Linked DNA regions of Daphnia pulex. The protein of the gene in region 1 purifies or fractionates together with the protein of each later gene. This does not show direct contact. Links are inferred from orthologs where the notes say so. Each region holds a gene or a part of one and is shown in the gene's direction. Other genes may lie near its edges. The genes, in order: protein phosphatase methylesterase 1-like and serine/threonine-protein phosphatase 4 catalytic subunit.

Region 1 (4,302 bases):
TTTTGAAACGGCTCCATATAGTATCTCTACCATCTCTGCTTTAAACATGGCACACTGGATGAGACTGGATGAATGTCCATTGTTCAGCAACATACAAATAATTATAGACTTTCATTTTTCTTTCTCGAAAGAATCATATAGGTCAAAACTAAACCTAAAATACATGGGAAGTGAAATGTCACATGGACCGTCTATTGCTTTTCCGGAGAAAGGTGGAGCGCAATTCTTACAAAAGCAGAATATAACAAACAGAAGAACAAAAAAGGAAAACGAAAAAATATATTGGCTAAATACAGAATGTCTGAATGTACTGTGCTCGAGGAGAGGAAATATTCAATTCAATTTTACACCGTACTATTAAAAATTTTGTACTTACCTGTATATATTCCATCTTTTCAAAACATTTCCATTCGTTGTTAATTTTATTTGACCCATCGCTACTAGTAATTAAGTTATAGAGTTAGCTGATATTATAGTAAGTTATAGTTAATAAACAAAGTCGTCTTAGTGTTCAAAACGAAAGAAATGTGAACTTACGGATACAATTTGGCAAAGTTTTTAAATGAAAAATCAAATAGCGTGGAGCATACCTAATCTGTTGTGTTTTCACTTTTTATGGAAATCTAAAGTCACCTTTGACCTGCTCTACTGAACCGTTACTACATCGAAAAAGTGCGTGACTGTCAACTTCCCGTTGCCCGTTATTATTTGGTAGGCCCATAAAAAGAAAAGAAAAAGAAGTATGTGTGACAGGGAAAAACTACACGTATGTATTAGGTAACCCCTTGTACGATCTATTAGGAAATGGGAAAAATTTTGTTCTGTGTTTTCAACTGTTGAGTAGAGACATAGAAATGTCTATAGAACCAATTCGATAAAATGTCTAGGATGTTCGACCAATGAGAATGGATATGGCAGAATTTGCTACTAAATGCCCCTAAAAAAGTTAAAATATAAATTCATGCGTTTAATTCTCCGATATGAAAATGATAGAAAAATCTGCGAAGAGAAGGAAAAGAAGATAGTAGATGCGAAAAAAGAAAGAAAAGAATAATTTAAAATTGCTTTTGGTTTTTGAAATACCAAAAAGGTAAGATACCCTTGGTGGGACTCGAACCCACAATCTCCAACTTAGGAGGCTGGCGCCTTATCCATTAGGCCACAAGGGCTTGGTTTGGATGTTATGAAATCAAAAATAATTCTTTTATTAAACTTATTTAATGGAAGCTGCCGAGAATCCTCCATTCAATTTATAAACATTCATAAACATTCAGTTAAAAACTTACTGACAATCGATCTTGATTTAATTTAATGCGTAGCGATATATTTATGTTGCAAATCACAGTTGCAGACGACATTATTCTATTATTCCAGCAGCCAGCTGCTGTGTGCACTGCCTGACAGAAAATCTGAAATGAAATCTGGTTAGTCGGTAATTTTTACAATAACATTTGATCTTAAAAATGGAAGCAAGTGCTTTGAAGAAAGTAAGGTGTAAATTGATTGCTCCTTTGGGCCTCCCTCCTCCTTCATCCAAAAGGTACCATTGTTTGTGGTACTGTATCTGAGACAACAATATTTTTATTTTATTTTTTAGCTTTTCAAGACCTAGTGGAATGGGAAAGAAGAAAGATTATACCCCTATTCATTGGAGCCGTTATTTTACATCACGTGAAAAAATAGTGGTAAATGAAGATGGAGATTCATTTCAGGTTTATCGTAGAGGATCTTCTGGCCCTCTTCTTGTTCTGCTTCATGGAGGTGGATTTTCTGCTCTGAGCTGGTCGTTGTTTGCTGTAATTTATTCTTATCTAAATAATGTTAATGTTTTATGATGTATGTTTCTAATTCACTGTTTTATTAGGAATGCATTGAAGGGCTGGTTTCCTGTCAGATTCTTGCAATTGACATGAGGGGTCATGGTGACAGCAAGACACACAATGATGAAAATCTTTCAGCAGAAACCCAAGCTGATGATATTGTATCAGTGGTCAAACATGTCTTTGGATCAGACCCTCCTCCCATTGTTCTTATTGGACATAGTATGGGAGGAGCAATTGCAGTTCATGCTGCTGCTACAGATCAGCTCCCAATGATTGCTGGGCTCATTGTGATCGATGTTGTGGAGGGAACAGCAATGGAAGCACTAGCCTCTATGCAAAATTTTCTAAGATCAAAACCCAAACAGTTTCTCTCCTTGGAACAAGCCATTGAATGGAGGTATTTAGGTTACTGAAATACTATTGAATAAGTTTGATTGTAAAAACTTTCTAATTATAACAATTTCATTTGTTGTGTTTTTATAGTGTCAGAAGTGGTCAGATTAGAAACGGTGAATCTGCTAGAGTGTCTATGCCTGGTCAATTACGGAGGTATCCATTGAGTTGTGTATTTGAAAATGTAGAACTTCAACGAAATTTTCAATTCATCTAGTGACGTGACTGGAGAATGCGCTACATCTGATGTGCCAGAAACAGTCACCACTCCTACCGCTTCTTCACCACTTGATGCTACAACACAAACTTCGAATGCGCTCAAACATGGTGAATGTATAACAGAAGAAGATGAAGATGAAAAAATTGAAAGTTCTCCTTCAACTAGAGAACCTACATTTTTCCCTCCAGTAAGATTTTCGGATAATTTATCAAGTTACATCACATTTAGAGTAAATTTTAAGCAAAAACTTCTCGTCCTTGTATTTAGGCCGTTAGTCCTAAGACTGGCTATCACTGGCGTATTGATCTGACAAAAACTGAACACCAATGGCCGGGATGGTTCCATGGTCTCTCGGCTACATTTTTAGCCATTCCTGTTGCGAAGCTCCTGCTGTTGGCCGGCATTGACCGACTCGACCGAGAACTAACCGTTGGTCAGATGCAAGGCGAGTCAAATTCAAATAATAGTTTGAAAAATATTAAAATCCGTTTTCGTCTTAATGTCAATTTTTGTTTGTGGCCTAAATAGGAAAGTTCCAAATGCAAGTGCTTCCTCAGTGTGGGCACGCGGTACACGAAGATGTGCCAGACAAGGTTGCAGAAGTGGTTGCTACATTTTTAGTAAGAAATCGCTTGACATCACCAAAGGAGAAATTTAATTGGTAAAAATAAATATATTTTCTTTTTTAAAATAAAAAATAAATTAAAAGATTTTACATATAATCTAGGGTGATGCCTGCTTGTTAGATTTTCCACTTATCACGTTCGACAACAAATGAAGTATTGAGTATTGTGTTCGATAATGCGACAGTAGAATCTGGGTCCTGAATATTTGTGTTTACTTTATGGTCATATTGTCATATTCTTTGCGTCATATGCATTGTTCTACATACTTTCATTTTAAAGTGTTTTGTAACATTTATTCAGCAGTTTTACTTTTCCTACTTCAAAATGGCGTACTTAAAACTGCATTCTAAAGAAAATGGGTCATGCTCCGCCGCATCAAATTTCTTTGTCAAAATCAAATGACAATAACAATTTGTGTCGGTTCTTTGTCGACAACAAATTGCGTGTCGGTTCTTTGATGTCGATAAGCTAACATTGAAGGCGAAATTATCCTTTGCACCTGAAGATATCTAAATTTTCGTATTTTCTTCGTACGTGGTGATTCGTATTAATAAAGTTCGTCAAGGCCAAAAGGACATTCCCTTTGTTGGCGAATTGAATTACTGATGCTGTTTCGTTGTTTATGGAAACAAATATTGATACGTCACAAGGTCTTATTGTTTATTGAAGACAAGTTTGATACGTCACAAGATCTAAAAGTTTTAACTTTTTTTAGAATCAGTTTCATCCATTCAGTTCGAAGTTTTCATAAATACAGAACAGGAAAATAAATAAAAAAGTTTTCAAGTTCAAAATTCTATTAGAAATAACTTCACTAGTCACTGACGCATTTGAATTAATACGTCAACACGGATGTTATTGAAATGGATTGTCTTTGGTGCGCTTCAGGCATTTTAAGAGGCGGAAACCAAATTTTTTGAGAAAACAGTTATAGCCTGCAAAGCGACCGGATTTCCCTGAGCTCCATGTCTTAAACCGGTTTGAAGTGGCCAAGAAAAGTCGAAAGGCCTTATGTTGGGTTTTTTTCCGGTTGCAACTAATGAATTCGCTTTGCATAAACAGGGGAAAATGGCATTTCACCTGTTTTTTCTATAAAATTGGGCTTAACTTTTTCAACAAATAATCTACCTTGGAAGAAAGTCGCTTTTGCCGTGCTTCGTTTCTCCAAATGTAGTGAAAGCGTTATTAGTCAAAAAGAGACAGGAGAGAAAGGACACTAATGGATTTTGTCTACAGATTT
Region 2 (4,280 bases), on another chromosome or scaffold:
CACCGAAATATTCACTCACTATCGCTGTGGGAGTCAATAAAACCATTAGCGACCTCGGTCAGTATTAATCAATAGTGTATATGAAATAAAAAGGTTTTTTTAATACATTTTTTCAACGTTAGGATACGACATACCTGTGTTGGCCACGACAGCTGATTACATCAACATTATGGCTTATGATATGCACGGGCCATGGGAACCTTTAACTGACCATCACGCCCCGCTCTATAAAAGAGATTGGGATACAGATGAAACCAACAATATCGATGCTGTCGTCCAGTACTGGAAAGATAGCGGTATGCCGTCCTCAAAACTCATGCTGGGAATTCCCCTATACGGAAAGTCCTGGACACTCGATTATACTTACACGGAGGATCCCACGCTTCCGGCACCCGGTTTGGGACCTGGAGCTGCAGGACCTTTAACCGGTGAATCGGGAACGTTAGGATACAACGAAATCTGTAATTATGTGAAAAACGAAAATTGGGAGGTGGTGGTCGATCCGACATTCCAAATCGGTCCATACGCTTCCACTCCGAGCGTGCCAAAGACTTGGGTTGGTTACGACGATCCCGTCATGGCCAATGTCAAAAGTCGCTACGTTCTGGAGAGGGGACTAGGCGGAGCCATGGTTTGGGACATGAGTACCGACGACTTTAGGAACACTTGTGGTGATGGACCCAATCCTATTATGACCAACATTTCACGAACTGTTGGGGTGACGACATCGACTACGACGACTTCACCGGCGGCGACCACCAAGACTACTACAGCCAGCACCTCGACGACTACGGGTGAGACAACGACAACAACGCCAACAACACCCCGTCCATCCACTACCAAACTGTCCACTTGGCCAAGAGTCACGACGGAGTCGACACAGGCTACGAGTTCGAAAACGCCATTCATACCAAACAATGGGCACCGAATTGCTGGCAATAGTCAGCAACTTACATTTTTGGCTTTCGGGTTTATTTTAATTAATTTAGTTATCTAGGACGTTAGAATTCAAATTTAACAATTTTTAATCATTTCTAATATTTTAAATCTTATTACTATATATTCAAAATCTGATTGATTCGGCCCGCAATACACACGAGTGATAATTAAATGTTGTTAATTGATATACTCATTGAGTAAGCCAAGAGAACTCTTATTTTTTTGTTGCAAAATTGCGTTAAAAATGAATTAGAAATTTGACAACTCCAATGTCGATTGAGCGAGTGCCGAGTGGCATTGTCAAGTGTCGAAACAGGAAGTGTTTAAATAAGTAATGGGTTAACGGCTACATTGTAAAGACCAGATTTCCAAGGCTTGAATCAAGGTTGGTTGTATTATGAAAGTCTTTATTGCAAACAAGTAAACGACCGTCAGAAGATCTGTGTTTTGACTGAATCAGAAATGAGAAATCAGCCTGAACATGCCCGTCTCAAGCAATCGATTTTTTTTAATCCAAAGGAATTCTGAGAAATAAAATATCAATTGAATGTCAGCGTTAGTTAAGGTCCCGTTTGAATAAACGAAACCCATCGTGACCATGTTTTGGTAGCAAACATCGGGCTGAAGGCCGACTGACGTCAGAGAATATTTCAAAATTGATAAATAATGTATCGAAATATTTTTTTTACTAGCGTGCTAGCGATGTTATCTTTATTTGTAAATTTTTTTTCTTACTAATAATATTACCAGATATTTGTAAATCATTTTCAGAACAATATCGATATTTCAACAAAAAGGAATAAAAAGCGCGCTTGAAATTAAAACTGCGGAGAAACTTGGCAACGCCGAATAATTTAATGGCGTTTAGATTGAAGCCCAGTTTTTTTGTCCGGCAACGTAAGGCAAGCCAAGGAAGTAAGGATAGCTTTGAAGAACGACGAGGACGGATTCAATTCGTGGCTTAACTCTCGATCGTCAACTTATCCAGTCACGAATTCATTCTTCGCCATCACCACTCATATTTCATTAATAACGCAAAGAGGTAAAGCTTTTATCTTATTCTCGTTCTGTGTAATGTCAGTTTCCTCATTTACCAAGTCAATGTGTATGACATCACCGGTCGGCTGTTGCACATACTCAAGGTCGTTATTCTTTATTTCCCTCTCGTCAACTAGGAAACAGACAACGTAAATATGTCAGACTTTAGTGATTTGGATCGACAGATCGAACAACTCAGACGGTGTGATATCATTAAAGAATCAGAAGTCAAAGCCTTGTGTGCCAAAGCACGGGAGATTCTGGTTGAAGAAAGCAATGTTCAGCGTGTTGACTCTCCTGTCACAGTAGGTTTCTCATAAGCTTTTGATTATTGCTCAATAACTAACATTTTTTGCTTGCTTTAGGTTTGTGGTGATATCCATGGCCAGTTTTATGATTTAAAAGAACTTTTTAAAGTGGGTGGGGATGTTCCAGACACAAATTATCTATTCATGGGAGATTTTGTTGATCGAGGATTTTACAGTGTAGAGACCTTTCTTCTCCTATTAGCTTTAAAGGTAGTATACATTTTTGTTAAGCATTTCTTTCTCTTGTTTCTGATTTGAGATTTCTTTCTTAGGTTCGTTATCCAGATCGCATCACTTTGATTAGAGGGAACCATGAATCACGTCAAATTACCCAGGTTTATGGTTTCTATGACGAATGTTTTAGAAAGTATGGTTCAGTCACTGTGTGGCGCTATTGTACTGAAATTTTCGACTACCTGAGTCTTTCAGCCATCATTGACGGCAAAGTATGCTTCCAGTAGTAACATGCATTGATAAAAACTCTAACATGACATGTTTTTCAAATTTTAGATATTCTGTGTGCATGGTGGGCTATCTCCTTCAATTCAGACACTGGATCAAATCCGAATAATTGACAGAAAGCAGGAAGTTCCTCACGATGGACCTATGTGTGATCTCCTTTGGTCTGATCCTGAAGGTAGGAAAATAAATATTGGCTATACTTCTGAAAGTGGTAATTCATTTCTGGGTGTTTGCTTTTGACAGATACACAGCAAGGATGGGGAGTGAGTCCACGCGGTGCCGGTTATCTTTTTGGCTCCGATGTTGTGCAACATTTCAACACCTCAAATGACATCGAAATGATTTGCAGAGCACACCAGCTTGTCATGGAAGGCTACAAATGGCATTTTAACGAAACGGTGCTGACGGTGTGGTCTGCCCCCAACTACTGCTATAGGTTTGTCTTAATTTCCCGCCAGATTTCACCAAGATGATTACTTAAACTTTTAATATTGCAATAGGTGTGGAAATGTAGCTGCCATTTTGGAATTGGACGAAAATCTCCATCGAGAATTCACGATTTTTGAAGCTGCCCCTCAAGAGACTCGTGGCATTCCTTCCAAAAAACCTCAAGCCGATTATTTCCTATAAGAAACGCGAAATGTTGATCGTTGATATATCCCCTGCGATTTTTTACAAAAATAATTATTCGGTAATGCATAAAACAAAAAACACAAAAAAAAAACAGTAACTGATGTGAGATACCCCATCAGTTGAAACAGAGCAAAAGAGCCTGTATCATGTTGGTTGACCATTTACCTTGACCGCCCGGACTAACAAATAGGTTTTTGAAAATTCTGTTCTGTCCAATCCCTTCCTTTTTTTTGGTAAACACAGTCTTGTCCTTTATAATAAAAATATATCTTGATCGTCCAAACAAGTGTTCAGTTTCCCTTTTCAACTTTTTGCTGCAGGATATCACATCTGACTATAAGCTACTCCCACTACTCAGTTTAATGAACAATATCTTTGTGTACGTGCGGTTATGGTATGTTGGGGGCGAATTGTGTGACGTGTGTAATTATTTTTTAACATCAGTGCTAAATATTGATGCAATGGCCATGCTTCCAAAATCTTTTTTTTTTTGTTTGTGTTGCACCCATTTATATTATTATGAATGTGATGCTTGCGATGGCTCTCAACATGCACTGTATACAATTTCTTGAAATAACGATGGACTTGAGACGAAAACATGTTTAGTGTACCTGCATTAGTTTCGAAAACAAGGCTCGATGTTTACTTTCTCAACATTGAGTCATAACGGCTATTCATTTTTACGATCGTTTTTATTATCACCGCTGTCCCGAAACAACATTGCGTGATGAATCAGCTGATAAGGTAATATCGTTGTGACATTCGACTACCGTGTGCGGTTTTGTGATAAGGTTACGTACTATCACAAGGTAATCCACGTTTAATCAACTTTCCCTTTTGTTAATTAATGGTACTATTTGACAACAATCGATTGTTGGATTCGGTTAGAGATTGAAATGG

What was found.
Region 2: the proteins of protein phosphatase methylesterase 1-like (region 1) and serine/threonine-protein phosphatase 4 catalytic subunit purify together in Homo sapiens (affinity purification with mass spectrometry; 3 studies listed by BioGRID and IntAct, with this or other methods). This does not show direct contact. The link is inferred for Daphnia pulex from reciprocal best matches to the Homo sapiens genes PPME1 and PPP4C.

Annotation. Positions count from the first base shown.
Region 1 is NC_060026.1:6,517,410-6,521,711, forward strand, and holds protein phosphatase methylesterase 1-like, read left to right. Parts: upstream 1-1,252; 5' UTR 1,253-1,463; coding exon 1,464-1,540; intron 1,541-1,597; coding exon 1,598-1,796; intron 1,797-1,864; coding exon 1,865-2,220; intron 2,221-2,306; coding exon 2,307-2,372; intron 2,373-2,433; coding exon 2,434-2,623; intron 2,624-2,703; coding exon 2,704-2,881; coding exon of another isoform or gene 2,882-2,902; intron 2,903-2,964; coding exon 2,965-3,097; coding exon of another isoform or gene 3,098-3,101; intron 3,102-3,163; coding exon 3,164-3,182; 3' UTR 3,183-3,661; downstream 3,662-4,302. UniProt on the Homo sapiens protein: Demethylates proteins that have been reversibly carboxymethylated. Demethylates PPP2CB (in vitro) and PPP2CA. Binding to PPP2CA displaces the manganese ion and inactivates the enzyme.
Region 2 is NC_060025.1:1,447,526-1,451,805, reverse strand, and holds serine/threonine-protein phosphatase 4 catalytic subunit, read left to right. Parts: upstream 1-1,233; 5' UTR 1,234-1,324; intron 1,325-1,710; 5' UTR 1,711-1,981; intron 1,982-2,114; 5' UTR 2,115-2,132; coding exon 2,133-2,282; intron 2,283-2,342; coding exon 2,343-2,495; intron 2,496-2,557; coding exon 2,558-2,731; intron 2,732-2,795; coding exon 2,796-2,922; intron 2,923-2,990; coding exon 2,991-3,183; intron 3,184-3,247; coding exon 3,248-3,377; 3' UTR 3,378-3,977; downstream 3,978-4,280. Other genes in the region: probable chitinase 10, read left to right, coding at 1-57, 123-997. UniProt on the Homo sapiens protein: Protein phosphatase that is involved in many processes such as microtubule organization at centrosomes, maturation of spliceosomal snRNPs, apoptosis, DNA repair, tumor necrosis factor (TNF)-alpha signaling, activation of c-Jun N-terminal kinase MAPK8, regulation of histone acetylation, DNA damage checkpoint signaling, NF-kappa-B activation and cell migration.